2 linked regions of the Astyanax mexicanus genome follow. The protein of the gene in region 2 purifies or fractionates together with the protein of the main gene of each other region. This does not show direct contact. Links are inferred from orthologs where the notes say so. Each region holds a gene or a part of one and is shown on either strand. Other genes may lie near its edges.

Region 1 (7,627 bases), on a different chromosome or scaffold from region 2:
ATCAGCTCGGGCCAGGCTAATTCCAGGTTTTCCTTAAAGTAGAAGACTAGTACTCTTCAGATGATGTGTATTTGTTCTGGCCCAAGATTAAAAATTCTTTCAAAATCACACTGGAACATCAGCTTTATATTAAGTTTTTTTTGTGCATTATGGATCGGTATTCCATGTTGCCAGTTCATTTTAAAGTATAAAATCAGCTCGGGCCAGGCTAATTCCAGGTTTTCCTTAAAGTAGAAGACTAGTACTCTTCAGATCTTGTGTATTTGTTCTGGCCCAAGATGAAAAAGTCCTTCAAAATCACACTGGAACATCAGCTTTACATAAAAAAAATTGTGCTTTATGGATCGGTATTCCATGTTTCCAGTTCATTTTAAAGTATAAAATCAGCTCGGGCCAGGCTAATTCCAGGTTTTCCTTAAAGTAGAAGACCAGTACTCTTCAGATGATGTGTATTTGTTCTGGCCCAAGATGAAAAAGTTCTTCAAAATTGTACTGGAACAGTGGCTTTTTTGTGCAAAATGGCTCGTTATACCATGTTGCCAGTTCATTTTAAAGTATAAAATCTGCTCGGGCCAGGCTAATTCCAGGTTTTCCTTAAAGTAGAAGACTAGTACTCTTTAGATCATGTGTATTTGGTCTGGCCCAAGATTAAAAAGTCCTTCAAAATCACACTAGAACATCAGCTTTATATTCAATTTTTTTGTGCATTATGGATCGGTATTCCATGTTGCCAGTTCATTTTAAAGTATAAAATCAGCTCGGGCCAGGCTAATTCCAGGTTTTCCTTAAAGTAGAAGACTAGTACTCTTCAGATGATGTGTATTTGGTCTGGCCCAAGATTAAAAAAGTCTTTCAAAATCACACTGGAACATCAGCTTTATATTCAATTTTTTTGTGCATTATGGATCGGTATTCCATGTTGCCAGTTCATTTTAAAGTATAAAATCAGCTCGGGCCAGGCTAATTCCAGGTTTTCCTTAAATTAGAAGAATAGAACTCTTCAGATCATGTGTATTTGTTCTGGCCCAACATGAAAAAGTTCTTCAAAATCACACTTGAACATCTGCCTTATATTTTTTGAGAGCAATGGCTTTTAAAATATAATTTCATTAAATATATATTTTTATTATTTATTATAATATATAATTATAAATTCAGTAATTAAATATTTTACAATATACAATTGGCTCCGGACAGGATAATGCCAGGTTTTCTTGAAAGTAGGAGGCTAAATCTCTATTTCAGATATTTTTGACTCAGGAAATGAATGAATTACACTAGAACAGCAAATTCATGTTGTAAGTAAAACTGGAGAAAATAAGTGATGGAAGGTCGTGTATATAAAATTACATTTAATAAGATATTGTATATTTACATTGTTAATAAACAGCTGTACTGCTTTTCTTCATTCTATCTCCTTCAGTGTTGATCTGTGAGGTGTTTAATATAAACAGCGGGTGTTTGTGAACGCTCCCTTTAGTTCACGGTGGTTCAGTGAAGCTGCAGCTGCGAATATCAAACCAACTTCAGCCGGGGAATACGAGGCTGCGAATATCGAGCCAAACGAATCTGGAGCTGCGAATATCAAACCAACTTCAGCCTCGTAAATACACACAACTATAGCTAGCTAACATATATAAACCAGTTGGTTACATATCCAACAATCTAGATTAGCTAGCTAGGTTAACATAACTAGCCGGTCTATCCCTCATTCTCCTTACTGATGTTTGATATTAATCAATAAAATCTTATTGTGACAAGCCTAGGTGAGGTTTGGGGTCCATTAAACAACTTTTCAGAGAATAGAGCATTAAGAGAGTTTATGTAAGATTACATGAATTATTAAGCATCAATATTTAAGGGAACATTTAAGGGTTTCCCTAAAGAAAATACTTAGATAACGCTTAGCTTAAGGCATTTTTTTTGCAACACACTTACCTTTAAGGAATTGTTAAGGGCATTCTTAATGGAAACAACTAAATTAGCTAATGCAACCAGGCACAGGCCCTGAAAGCCTAGCTAGCTAGCTAGCTAACATAGGCAGGTATGGATTATTTTATTCAGTTTTATTACTGAAAGACTAAACTGACTGAGTTCATACGTTTGAGTGGATGGAGAGGCCTAGTTTGCCAGGGTTAGTTAAAACTATCTAAGATAGTAACACCAGCTGTCTAGTCAAACCTGCTCCATTATAAATAAATATATAACTCAACTGTTACACACACAACTACAGCTATAGCTAACCTATACAAGCTAACGTTAGCTAACTAACTTAACAATTTATTAGCATTAGGTTAGCTGAGATAACGTTAGCTGCTGCAGGTTAAGCTCTCCACAGCAAGCTGTCTATTCCTCATTCTCCTGTTACTGTAACGTTACTGAACTGAAGTGAAGTGAAGGGCGTTGGGGCGCTGGATGTCAACCTAGCAAGCAAGCTAACCTAACGTTAGCTATTAGCTAAGTTAGCTAAACAACACAGCTCGCCATCCACTAAGCTAACCTAGCCGGCTAGCTATCTAGCTAGCTTGTACCGTTACAGGACCGAGGCCTATCATGAACGCCATCTCGCAGTACCCCCCTCCCACCCAAAAATACCCACCCTACCTCGCCCCCTTCAAAACACACGAAGCCCTGCGTGCTGCCCCGCGCCTGCACAGCCCCCCACCCAGCCCGGGCGGGCGTCTTACCCCGGAATTTGAGCTCGTGTTGAGGTTCCAGAAGCAGGACCTGCTCCGGCCTGGCCATATCCCAGCGATTCGGACGGCGCTACTGAAAGACACACACACACGAACCAGCAGCCCTCGCAGACTCTCTACTATTCACTCGCTGCCTGCGCACACAGCGCTAATAACTCGCTAACGCTAGCCGGGTTTATAACTACAGAAACCGACGATATTTTTAAGCCACGTCCGGTTGAATAAAACTAGCTGTCCTGCTGAAAAACAGTGAGTTCAGGGCGCTGCTGCTAGGTTAGCTACCCTATGTTGTGATGCAGCAGGAAAGCGGGCTGAGGGAGAGAGAGAGAGGGAGAGAGCGAGGCTGGCTGGGAGTGACGTCACGCCGCCTGCACCAGCAGCCACTCAGCGGCTGATGTGATGCCAGAGTGGGGAATGGTGGTGGTAACCTATATGGGATATCTTATCTTAGCCTCAGACATTTAAACCCCTGTGTACAAGGGTGTCCGTCATTAATCTGACACTGTTACAGGGCCCAGGCATCAGGTTATCAGAATGTTTTTGCCACTTAAGAGTGTGCACGAGGCAATACATCACATTGCATTACATTACATTAGGATCAATACAAAAAGTCAAGTCAAGTCAACTACACTGCCTGGTCAAAAAAATTATAAGTAAATAAGTCACCACCTGGATTTATGTAAGTAAATGATGTGGGGTTGATGGTTGATGCTGCTGCAGTTGGTCTGCAGGTCTGGGTTCAGCAACAGTTTGTGCTGAAAGAATGATGTCAGCTGACTGCTACCTGAATATATGCTGAATATTCCAGACCAGGTTATTCCATCAATGGAAGATTTTTTCTTCCCTGATGATACACACGGCAATATTCCAAGATGACAATGCCAAACTGCATCATCAATGCTGCTGCAAGATCTTGGTGATAAATTAATGCAACACTGTATTGAAAATAATCTTGTGACATTGCAGAAGAGAGATTATCGATACGACGCAAAAGCGAATGCATGCCGCAATCAAAGCTAAAGGCTGTCCAACGAAATATAGGTGTGTGTAACCTTTTTTGTCATTGTTGTTGGACCGCCTTTAGGTTTGATTGTGACATGCATACGCTGTGGTAGCTTCTGCGATGTCACAAGATTTAATTCAATCCAGTGTTGCATTAATTTTGCACCATTTGCAACCATTTCTAAAACAGATTGTCCAGTCTCTATAAAGAAGTATTGCTTATTTGAAGGGGATTCTCAGCAGCAGATAAACATACATGTATTGGCACCATGCCTAATGCCATGCCTGGCGTAGAGGGATATAAAGCTCCTCTACATTAAGCTGTGGAGCAGTGGATCTGTGTTCTCTGGATTGATGGAGTTGCATCAATGGAACTTGGCTGGAAGTTACAGATGAGGTGGTGATCATCCAATATCCTGATCTCACTAATGTTCTTTCTGCTGAATGCAATCAAATCATCATAGCGATTCTATTGAAAGAAACAATGAATGATCAGGTGGGCCAACACTTTTGTTCATGCAGTGTATTAACATCAGGATAGCAGTATATTGTAGGCTGTGTTTGAGTGTATTAGTGTCACCAGCATTGCTAGAGTGCTAAGCACCTCAGTGTCACTGCTGGGTTAAGAATAGTTGGCAAACCAGAAATACCCAGCCAATAGTGTCCAGTGGTCAGAAAGTGGCCCTTGATGAGAGGTTAGATTAATGACCGTCCAAATATACAAATACAAATTGTGCATGAATAAATTGAGCTGTAATTTTACACCTAATAGCTGTATCAAAACCTTGTTTGTGTAATGAAGTGATTAATACACTAACATGCCACGTGTCATTACACAGAAACTAGTATCATATCCCATGACTTTTGCCATGTCCCATTGAAGCTAAGAAATATTGCACTGACTTGTGGGAAGATATGTTTTTGTGGCCTCCTGTTATTAGCTATTTTATTAGTAGCTATTTTATTAAACGCAAGGAGACGAAACTCAGAGATATGAGTCTGGACAGGACTAAAATTACTGGAGGACCAGGTAATTTTTTTCAGAGGACACCTGAGAAAAACACATACATGGTCGTTCTGGACGGGATTAAAATCACAGTGTACCCCCATAAGGGAGAAAATTACCCCAGGACCCTCTAAGAAACGAATCCCGTCCGGATAGGGTTTTTGACTAATATTTAGATTAGTTTGATGACCCAAAACGTGCAAAAATTTATAAATTAAATTAAAAAAAGGGGTACAAACACCTTTTCACACCAGTTAGAACACTTTTTATACTGAGCTCAGTGTGTAAACTTTTAAGGTGTGCTCTCCTTTATAGCACAAACAAAACTCACACGGAGCAGTTTCTGTTTCTGTGCCATTTTATTACTATTAAACAGCTCAGAACATCCCTTTATTACAAGCAATGTTGTTTGCAATCAAGCGAAGAAAGAAAAAAAATAAACCTCTTTAACTATACAGTAACTGATTAAAATGCAATGGGTTAAATTAGTGCGTTGTGTAAATATTGCAATACAAGGTAAATATATGTAAACTACATTGTGTGTGAACACCATTGAAGATGACCAAATTCATTCATTTAACATGCCCCCATGGTAACAATACACAAAAAAAAAACCCAAATACATCAGAACTTCACAACACATTCTCAGGACCAGCCCAAGACTGTTGGCATTTTCAGTAACATGAAATTAATTCATTCTAGACTGCTGAAGGGAAGTGAAGAATCAAACTTCCCACTCTAAATGTAACATGCTATTCCACTGAAACCCACAGAACTTCCGCTGAATGTGTGAATATGTGAACGTGTGCTCCAGCTGAGGAGTAAAGCTCTGTAACGTAGGCTAATACCACAACAAATTAAATGTAACATACACATATAAACACATCCTAACATAAAATGGAAACTTTTTTTACTTTGCTTTTATAAAGACACTTTAAGAAGCTTTTACATGGCACGAGATAAGAAAAATGAAAAAAATACATATAAAATGTAAAAAAAAACAAAAACAAAGTGATTCTGAGCTGTGTGCAAGGCTTCTGGTAGTACATCTGGACAGTTACACATCGAGTGAGATTAATATAAAAAAGAAAAAAATACGTATAAAGCTACTCCTATACAACCGTGGTTATATTTATATACTGTACATCACAATGAATGGTGTTCTTATTCTAACCAAGCTAAATGGATAAATGGATAATAACCACATACCACAAAAAGTACCATACAATCTTCATTTAGTAAAGCACTTTCCCTGAATAAATGATTACTTTGGAGATAAAATCTGCAAATACCAAAATACAAATAGATAAATTCATTAGGTTAAGTTTCTCATTACAATGAACAATCCTAAATCTTCCAATCCTTCAAATTCCACTTTACGAGTTTCTGAAAGGTGTAGTATTTATATATTTCACTAAATATAACGTAATTTGATTTGGGTCTTCAGTCTCGGGTCCTGACTAATCACTGTAGGGGATAATGGCCAAACAGCTCTGCTCTGCCACAAGAACAATGCCCAATAGTTCTCACACATTCAGTGCACAGAGCCAACAGCTCCATCTAGATGCACGAATACAGTGGCTTGCAAAAGTATTCATACCCCTTGAACTTTTCCACATTTTGTCATCTTACAATCACAAACTCAAATGTATTTTTTTTAATTGAGATTTTAAGTGATAGACAAAAAGTATTCCATAAGTGTGAAGTGTAACGAAAATGATACATGTTTTTTAAAATTCTTGGCTGAGCTTAAGCTGTTTTATAAAGAAGAAATGCAAAGCTGGAAGAGACAAACCTCAAAGCACTTATAGCTGTAACTGCAGCGAATAGTGGCTCCATTAAGAAGACTAAGTGATATATGGGGGCTGAATACTTTTGCACGTCACTTTTCAGATTTTTAATTTGATAAAAATCATGAAAACCGTGTATCATTTTCGTTTCAAATAAAATCTCAATAAAATCCATTTAAGTTTGTGGTTGTAAGGGGGCAAAATGTTCAAAAAGGAAAAGTTCAAGGGGTTTGAATACTTTTGCAAGTCACTGTAAAGTGTGGCTTCAAGACAGCCACGTGTAGGCTTAACATTCATATTAATAAAGAGGGGAGCGCAAGACCATCCAAGGCACATACTGTACATAATGCCACAATACAAATATTGGGTTTAAGGGTGTATTATATTATAGTTTCTATCCTGATATGTTATTAACCATCCATACTTTTACATTTTGGAGTTTAATCCATGCTGAAAACCAACATAGAGTATGTTTTTGTTTGAGTTTAGCTCAAGTTTGATAGTTTAGCTTAGATAGTTTAGATAGTTTACACACATGATCTGGTCAACGAGCATGGCCAAAATCAAGTGTAACATACTCGATCCGCTCGTAAGGAGCTGGTTAAGCAGCTAGCTCGCCAGTATAGGGTATGTTTCCCCCTAAATGACCATCAAAGATCAGCTTAAACCATCCAATTCTTAACTTCTAATCACAGTTAAGTTAATAATAAAGTCATTGTATTCATTTAAAGTCAAAGCACATAAAGCAGAAAGTGGAAATGATGAGTTTGTTGGCAAAAAAAGAAAAGAAACAAACTTAGTTCAACTTTAAACACCAATTTGCCCCACACTCACTAGAACTTCCCATTACTAGTAATGCTCCAACACTAGGGGCACTCTTCTCTTTTTTTTTTTTAACTGAGTCACTGGGTAGCCAACACACTTGAAGAGGAAACTCCTGTGCTGACCAACATTACATTGGGACCCAGAGAGAGCATGACCAATTGTGCCCTCTCGGACTCCGGCTGCTGATGGCTACCAGCATTGCCCGGGATTCAAAGCGGTGATTATCGGAAAAGTCATGCAAAGCCTAGAGTTCCTCCGGTTAACCTTTGTGTTACTGTGAAACTGTGAAAAGTTAAATGAGCAAAACA
Region 2 (7,954 bases):
TTCTACTTAGGATGATGAAATTCAGTGGAAAGCAAATCAGTCTTGGTATGTTTAACCAAAAAAATTGGTAAAGCATAAGTGAGAGTGAGGGAGAGAGAGAGAGGAGTGAGCAGAGAGAACAGGCCTTCAGTATTTATCTGGTAATAGTTCACATGAGCTTATGACTCACGCACTACATGGCCATTGTCAAGACAGTAACGTTAACTGCCTGCAATGTTTCAGTGAGAACTGCAGATCTAGATGTTTGTGTTTATGATTAAAACAGTGCTATTGTAAATCTGGGCTGAATTTTGGAAAATTCCGTGTACACGAAATGTACTGCTGATAAACAAACATAGAAAACGTAAACACTGGGACTTAACACCTGGATGAGCATTACAGGGGAAATTTAACATTTATTTATATGGACAAATGTACTGTCACACCTGCTCATTTATTGGTTTTTCCAAATTCAGGGGTATTAAAAAGATCTGATCTAATGTTGAAGGAAAGCTTTCTACTAGATGTTACAGCACTGCTGTAAGGAAAGACTGCATTTAGAGACAACAGCATTATTGAGGAGAGGATGTTGCATGATAACCAGCCCGTCCCATCTCCAATGCCCCACCTTATCCCAAAAACATTGGATGGAACACAATCTTTCCAGCTTAATGAAAGTAGCTGAATCATTTAATTACTAGCAATCGTGTCCACAAACATTTGGACATATAGAGGGCCCACCCAAACTAAACATCTGGGTCTCTGGTCAGCCATTAATGGGGTAGAAAGCAAAAGTTTTTTTCAATGCTTTAAGCTCACAGGTCTTAACAGCAGCGTATGGAAAGTGTGCTACATGTTGTGTCACATCTGTATCTTAACCACCACCACCACACCCCCAGGCCAGTGCATATTGACGTCACCAACTTCAGGATGACAGGTCTGTTTTAATATATATTATGAGATTGCAAGTTTAAATCCAATTTAAAACATAATACTCAAAACACGCAACCATTTTTTTTTGCCCACACCTGGGTCTGGTACGTTTAGTCAAGCGTGAAAGCTACTTTTAAGCCCGGGAGCGGTCCAGAGTGGTCAAGTGTACTGACCCCAGGTCATCCTAAAATCTGTGGTCTGAAGTTTACTTTAAGACAACTTGGGTTCGAGCTAACTGTGCATGGGTCCACATGTGGTTCATTTTGTCACATAACAGCTTCAACTTATTGTGTTCTCTCCACTAAAAAATAGCAAATGGAATTGCAGTGTCAATCCAGTGTCTGAAAAAATGTGTTTGAAAACAAACCAGTCCAAAATTGGTCCTGGGTCATATGAGGAAAATGCCAGATTTGATTTATGTCTTACCAGCGCAAAAACATTTCCAGTTTAGCTCTTTTGAAAATATTAATACTTTGTCTCGAAGCAAATGCAGACTGATTCCTTTGTATATTATGTCATTTGTGAGAGCACAGTAAGCCCTATAGTAAACAAAGCATTCTTTTAAAGCCTTAAAGGAGAAATCCTGTGTGAAATGGTTGTGGGGTGTAGTGAAACATAACAAGGAGTAAAAACCTTTGTTGAACAGCCCAGCTCCATTCACCCCCAGCATTCCTAATTACTGTGCTTTTAGCTGATGCTCCCAACAGGCTTACAATGCACGTGATAGGGGCATAGCCTTGTCCATGCAATTCCATGGAACTGCATAAATATTTTAAACAACAGCTGGAATTTATGCATTCATTATGCAATCTGTTCCCCTACCCAACCAATTAATTTGTGCTCCTTAGTCGACTTCTCGTCACTTAATTTCAAGATGTACTGTGTGTATAAACAGTGTTTTTTTAATAAACTACCTCTGCACTTTCAAAGTTCTCAGTGCCTCGTGTTCAATGTCAGGGGCCTTGGAATTCTTCCAGCGAAGTGTGAAGCTACTTTGAGCTTGTCAAAAGTGTTGAAATAAATATTTCTTTGCATGGGTTTTAAAGTTAAGTTTTTAGGTCTCTTGAGAGCATCATCAGAAATCAGAATGCTGGATTTTAGAATATTGAAGGTGAATAGAGGTGGGCTATTAGACAAAAGTTTGTGATCATTATCATGTTTAACTATGTCCCAAGTCTAGTTTAAACCAGAGTTCTCCTTTAAACTTTTTATAAGCTACATACTCTTGACAGTTGAATGTGCCACAAATCTAGCTATACAAAAGCCCCACTCATGCCAACAAAAAACATAAAGCACAAAAAAAACATTGGTTAGCTAACCTAGAGATTAAAAAGGCAGAATTTAACTAATTATATTAGCTAATTGTGAGAATTATATAAGCACCAGCATTTTTGCCACCTCGAAAATTAAACAGAATTTTAAAATCGTGTATTGTTACAGCTGTAATGACAGTCAGCTAGGATAACTAGATAGCTAAGCTAGCTGCACAGCACAGAACGGAGAGGCCACTCCGCCCCAGTTCATCAGTATGAATGCTGGAATGTGTGTGAACATTGTAAGAGTGAATAGAGTACTCACACTTTCGGTGAAGGAGTGAAGTTGACATCTTCTGGAGCATCGTAAAACTCCTCTGTGTCACTCGTATCCGACGCCATTTAGTGTTGACTTAGCCAGACGGCTACATGCAAAGGCCTAGGATGGAATAATATAAAGAAGTCTCTTAATATAAAGTGAAAGCAGACTGACTGTGAAGTGGATTTAAGCACAGACGCCCCGTTCACACTAATGACAAGTTGGGACGCGTCCTCAGTTTTCTGGAGCGCTCCAGACTCAGCTAGCGAACGGTTAGCCCCAAGCTAACAGACCAAACACCAACTGCAGAGCAGCCCGACTGTGTGACAGCAGCGCGGAATTTCACAATACCTCGCTGTAAAGCTTTATCGGGCTCCACAGGAACACTTCTCCGGTACGAGCAGCAGCTACCGGGGGTCTTAGCGCGACCCTCGCAGGATTTATGGCCCAAAAACACGGAGCCTAAAGCAGCAGGAGGAGGAGAAGGAAGAGGAGCGTCAACTGATTTTTCTCACGACTGGACAAGTCTCGCACTGAACTCCCGCGAGATTCTGTGTGCCTTCCATAACGCATTGACAGCTGATCTGGTATCAGTTTAGTGATTGGAGCTTTTATTGAAAAGACAAGGATGTGAAACCAATGAGCTAATCCTGAATCAGTCATGAGATATAAGGACCGCTATAGAGTTGTAAACACAGATAGATTGATAGACAGACAGAAAGACCGACCGACGGAGAGACAGACAGACAGAATTTATAAAAATAATTTACATGTTAATATATTAATGTATATATAAATACATTAATATATTATTTATATTAATAGAAACAGAAAATATAAAACAATAATGTCAATATTTACAAATAAATAAATTCTGGTCAACGTTGTTTTAATGTATTAGCGATAGAAAAATGGATGTTGATTCAAGATACTTTTCCTGTGTGGGACATTATATATTTCTGTTTTTGCAGTTTTTATTAAATTCAATATTTTTTTAAACATTTTAAACATTTAAAGATTAAATGCCCTTTTAAATGTAATTGCACGATGTACAATAAAATTATGCAGGAATCCTTAGGTGTTTAAGACATGCAATAAATAACATGAACTATGTAAAACAATTATACACAAATACACAAATTTAAGAGTCAGTTGATGAATGAAAATATATACAGTACAGATTATTGCACAGGATCTGAGTAGCTTGAACTGAACTGAAGAATAAATAAATGCGTAGAAAGTGCACACATTGCTGTTAAAAAAGTCCGATTATCAGTGGGTTTTTTTTTTAGTTACATGTGTAGTGTTCTGTAGGTGTATGTGTGTGGGTGTGTGTTTTCCAATTTTCCTCAGTCTTGACTGTCTGCTATTTCTGTATATTGTGCTACTGCAGCTAGATAAAACACAACAAAGTAGTTGTGGTAAGCAGTAAATAGTTATATTGCAGATAAGTTAATAGTGAAAACAATAGAAAAAGGGTGAACTGTGATAAAAGTGTAACACATTAATAATTTGTGTATTTATCAGAGTTTGGTGGATGTACATGCATTATGCGTTACATTGCGGTTAGTGTTTTTATGTGTTATATAAAACACCGATAGTCTAATGCATCAGTAACGTTACATGTATTGTCCATTATAATTAATTACCTAGTATTCATGTTTTATTAATTATGTATTGTCATTCGTTGTATACCTAATATTTTATACCTGCGTTTTATGTTATGTTATTCATCAGTACAGTGCTGTATCAGTGCTGTGTGTTGTTTTCATATTTAAATGAGTGTTAATATTATGCGTTTTTATCATTAGTAGTGTGCGTATGCGTGTGTGTTACTACTTGGCGCTTGTTGAATCAACCAATCACGGAGTCTCATCGCAGCTGCGCAACGAACTTCTTTTGGCAACGGAAGTTTTGAGCGTCTGCCTTTGACTGACAGCCGCGCTGGCCAATCGTCGGCGTGCGCAGCGCACCTCCTTTGCGGCTCCCGCCAATGAAAAACACGTCAGGGGGCGGGACCCGGCGCGGTTCAGGAGTGGAGTGGATTTGAGGGTTTAAGAATTCGGCGAGAAGGGCGAAATCCCGACACTAGAGGTAAACAATTCTCTGTTTAAAAGTTGATTTGTGTGGCGTGAAGTGAGGCGGACGCTTAGCGGAGCGCTTGCTGTCATATGTGTGGTCAGAGCGGTCAGGAAAGTAGACGGAGCTAAAGCCGCTGTGTGGCTAAAGGCAGGCAAACGCAGCCATGCTTATCGTTTTTGTCCTTTTCTTCAAATCATTTCGGTTGGTAAAGTTGGTGTCGTTTTGTGCCATTGCTGCTGTGGTTTGGGAATTAAACAGAGCGTTTACAGCGGGCTGCAAGTGCTGCAGTTCGTCTCCACAGCGACTCGCCTCCTCGCCTGGTCTTGTGTTGGGTCGCCCTGCTAAAGCTAGCCTGCTAACTTTGAGAAGTTCCGAATAAACATGAGCAGACATGTCTCTGCAAACAGACGAGAGAGTTAAACACAGTCTGTGTGATAATATAAACCTTTAAAACGACGTTTAAAACAGCGTTTCAGTACTGTGTTGAACGCTGCAGCTCTGTCCTAAGTATTTTATATTCGTTATTAAAAGTGAACCAGGTTAGCTGGGGAAGTCAGCCTTTGTGAAAGTGGATTAGACTAGCTATTTTATCTTTAACAATCTCATTAGTGAGCGCAAATGCTCTAGTTAGCTAGCTAGTTAACTAGCTGAAGTGGTGATAAGTGAACGTTGGCCAGACATTCTAATGTTAGTAGCTAACTAGATAGCTAGCTTAGCTAGGTTAACATAGCTAGCGTTAGTTCTCCATAGCTTCTTATCCTTGTTTACTTTTTGCTGTTTATAACTAGCTAAGCTAACTCGCTAGTGAAGCTGTATGAGTCATCCAGTGTGCAGGGATACAGATACAGCAGGTATTTGGCTGACCCATACCCGTCAGTTTATTGTCACTAACATAAAAGAGGTCAGATATTTCGATAGAGGAAAGAAGAAGAGCTGTGGCAAACTGATAGCTGATGGCTTGACCCATCTAAGCTATCAAGAGCACTATGCTGACATCTTTATTGACTCATCATCATGGCCTGCCTATTTGCTGGGTTGTTGCTCATCCCCTGGCCTGCAGTGACCGCCTGTGTCTCTACTGCTATGATATAGGGTTGAGCAGGTCATGTAGTTAGTAAATTAGTTAGCTAACTAGCTTGCAGATCCTGAGTTCTACAAAACAGTAATCTCCCCATAGTATTAAGCTAGTAACTGTTCTTGAAATGTTCTCTTGTCAGAGTAAAAAACAGTTAAGCCCTATCCGGACAGTATTAGTCAGGGGGTCCTGAGTTAAAGTTTTCTTATATGAGGGTCCTCTAAGATTTTATTCCCATCCGAAACAACCATGTATGTGTTTTTCTCAGATGTCCTCTAAAAAATGTACAGGCTGAATTACCTACTGAACTCCATAGTCCTCCGGTAATTTTAGTCCCATCCGGATGCACATCTCCAGTAGAGACATTTGGCTCAGAACACCTGTTGTTTGTGCTTGTTATGAATGTAGAGCCAATGAATACTTGTTATGGCATATCATGGTCAGTTTTACTGCTTCTCCAGCAGCGAGTGAATTACTGCAATGGGTGGTGAAATGGTTTTACTCTTTAAAATTAGATTTTTAAGAAGGTAACCAAGTAAAATTTATATATAAATCACATTTAAGACCAAAGTGCTGTACAATTACAATCCAAGAGAAAAGTGGTAGGCTATTCCAATGTCTTGGTGCTGCAACTGCAAAGCCTGGATAACCCCTGAGCTTTAGCGGAGACCAAGGAAAAAACAGAAAAAGCTAGTCCAAAGACCTCAAAGACCTGGAATAAAGGCAGTAGTGTTTATATTATCAGTATAAGCTTGTTGCGGTGGTGTATTGAGACAATAAATGAGAAAAATGTGTTCACAGACAAATCAGAACGCTCGTCACTATTGTAGAATGTTGAATTACTGGTTGATGTTGTGCGTGTGGTTCTTGAGTTTTGATCAAGAATGTTTTTGTTTTTATACAAAAAAAAAATTATGTACGTTTGTAAACACTTGGTGGGTGTTTTTTATAGTGGCTGTGAGCCACAGACCTAGTGTTCATATGCTCTTCCCCTCAAAAGCCTAAAATTGGTCTGAAGTAATGCATGACAATGTGTTTTTAAGTCCTGGTAACGTACACTTATGATTGGTTGTAAGGTTGATAGTGAACAGTGCCTATACTTATATTATTATACTTATATATATATATATATATTTTTTTTTGGCCAATGTTAGAAAGTGCAATATTGTTCAAGTTTGTTTAGAAATAACATTAGCAATGTAATGCATATTACATGTACACTTTAACATTGTGTAGCTGATTTTAACTTAATGTTCTGGTTGATTTAAACAAGAAAATTGACTATGAAACACAACAGAGTTAATCTATCAGTGGCAGAGAAGACACTCGAGTAAGTAGAGCAATGAGAACACACCCAGGGCAGTGGGCAGCTGCCTCAGTGCCTGGGGAGCAAATGCGGTCTTGGTTCCTTGTATAAGAGTGCTGCAGTCCTGAATGTTACGGGAATGGAGAGAAAAGTTCTTTCACTCCCACCACCGGTAGTGGGGATTGAACCAATGACCTTCTGGTTCCAAGCCTGCTTTTTTAGGCTTTCTGCCACTGCTAAGCTGATCCAATAGAAGGGTGTGTTTCTGTATTTGTGCCCCTTTTTTCTACATAAACACCCATGTATTTTAGTCAGTGAGTGCAGGAATTAGATTTATGGCATTATTTAGGCATTTAGCAGATGTTCTTATCTTAAGTGACTCAGAAAGGTGTTCTACTCTTTTACTACAATCTCCTTAGCTAGTTTGTATAGTTTAGAATCTAAAATATAAGTTTAGAGGCTGCCAAATACAAGCCAGTGACTATGCATCTTGAATGATGGTGGGTCAAGCTAAGCTGTATTTGAAGCGTGAAGGGCTCTTGGAACAATTCAGGATTTTGACCACTGCCATCAAATACAAAGGGACTGGTTTTACAAGAGGACAATGTTTTACTCATCTGTTCCTATATAGGGGCTATAGAAATGGTACGGTTACTGGTGTTATTGGTGATACACTCTGCACTCTCCCAGCAAAACATATTCCAGTACTATTTCTGTCACAATAATAACATTATTGATTTATTGTACAATAAATGAACATGACCTCAAGGATATTTCATAATTGTGATATTGTATATTGTGTTTATTTGTATGTTTGTTCACATAGATAACAGTGAACAGTATTTTAGCCCATCTTGCATAAAAAAACACCATTTCTTTAATAAATGTGACTCCATACACACAGTGTGAACTGCAGTAAGTGCATAATAATTATATCATTCTCAAACTTTGATTAATTCAAATTTTGTTGTCTTTGAAAGGGTATGATTGCATTTTAAGCTATTCTG

The links.
Region 1: the proteins of wdr44 (region 2) and vapb purify together in Homo sapiens (affinity purification with mass spectrometry; 4 studies listed by BioGRID and IntAct, counting the BioPlex papers as one, with this or other methods). This does not show direct contact. The link is inferred for Astyanax mexicanus from reciprocal best matches to the Homo sapiens genes WDR44 and VAPB.

What each region holds. Positions count from the first base shown.
Region 1 is NC_064412.1:55,095,113-55,102,739, forward strand, and holds the start of vapb (vesicle-associated membrane protein-associated protein B/C), read right to left. Parts: upstream 3,027-7,627; 5' UTR 2,746-3,026; coding exon 2,688-2,745; intron 1-2,687. UniProt on the Homo sapiens protein: Endoplasmic reticulum (ER)-anchored protein that mediates the formation of contact sites between the ER and endosomes via interaction with FFAT motif-containing proteins such as STARD3 or WDR44.
Region 2 is NC_064408.1:31,687,813-31,695,766, forward strand, and holds the start of wdr44 (WD repeat-containing protein 44), read right to left. Parts: upstream 3,005-7,954; 5' UTR 2,836-3,004; intron 2,605-2,835; 5' UTR 2,568-2,604; coding exon 2,491-2,567; intron 1-2,490. UniProt on the Homo sapiens protein: Downstream effector for Rab11 which regulates Rab11 intracellular membrane trafficking functions such as endocytic recycling, intracellular ciliogenesis and protein export.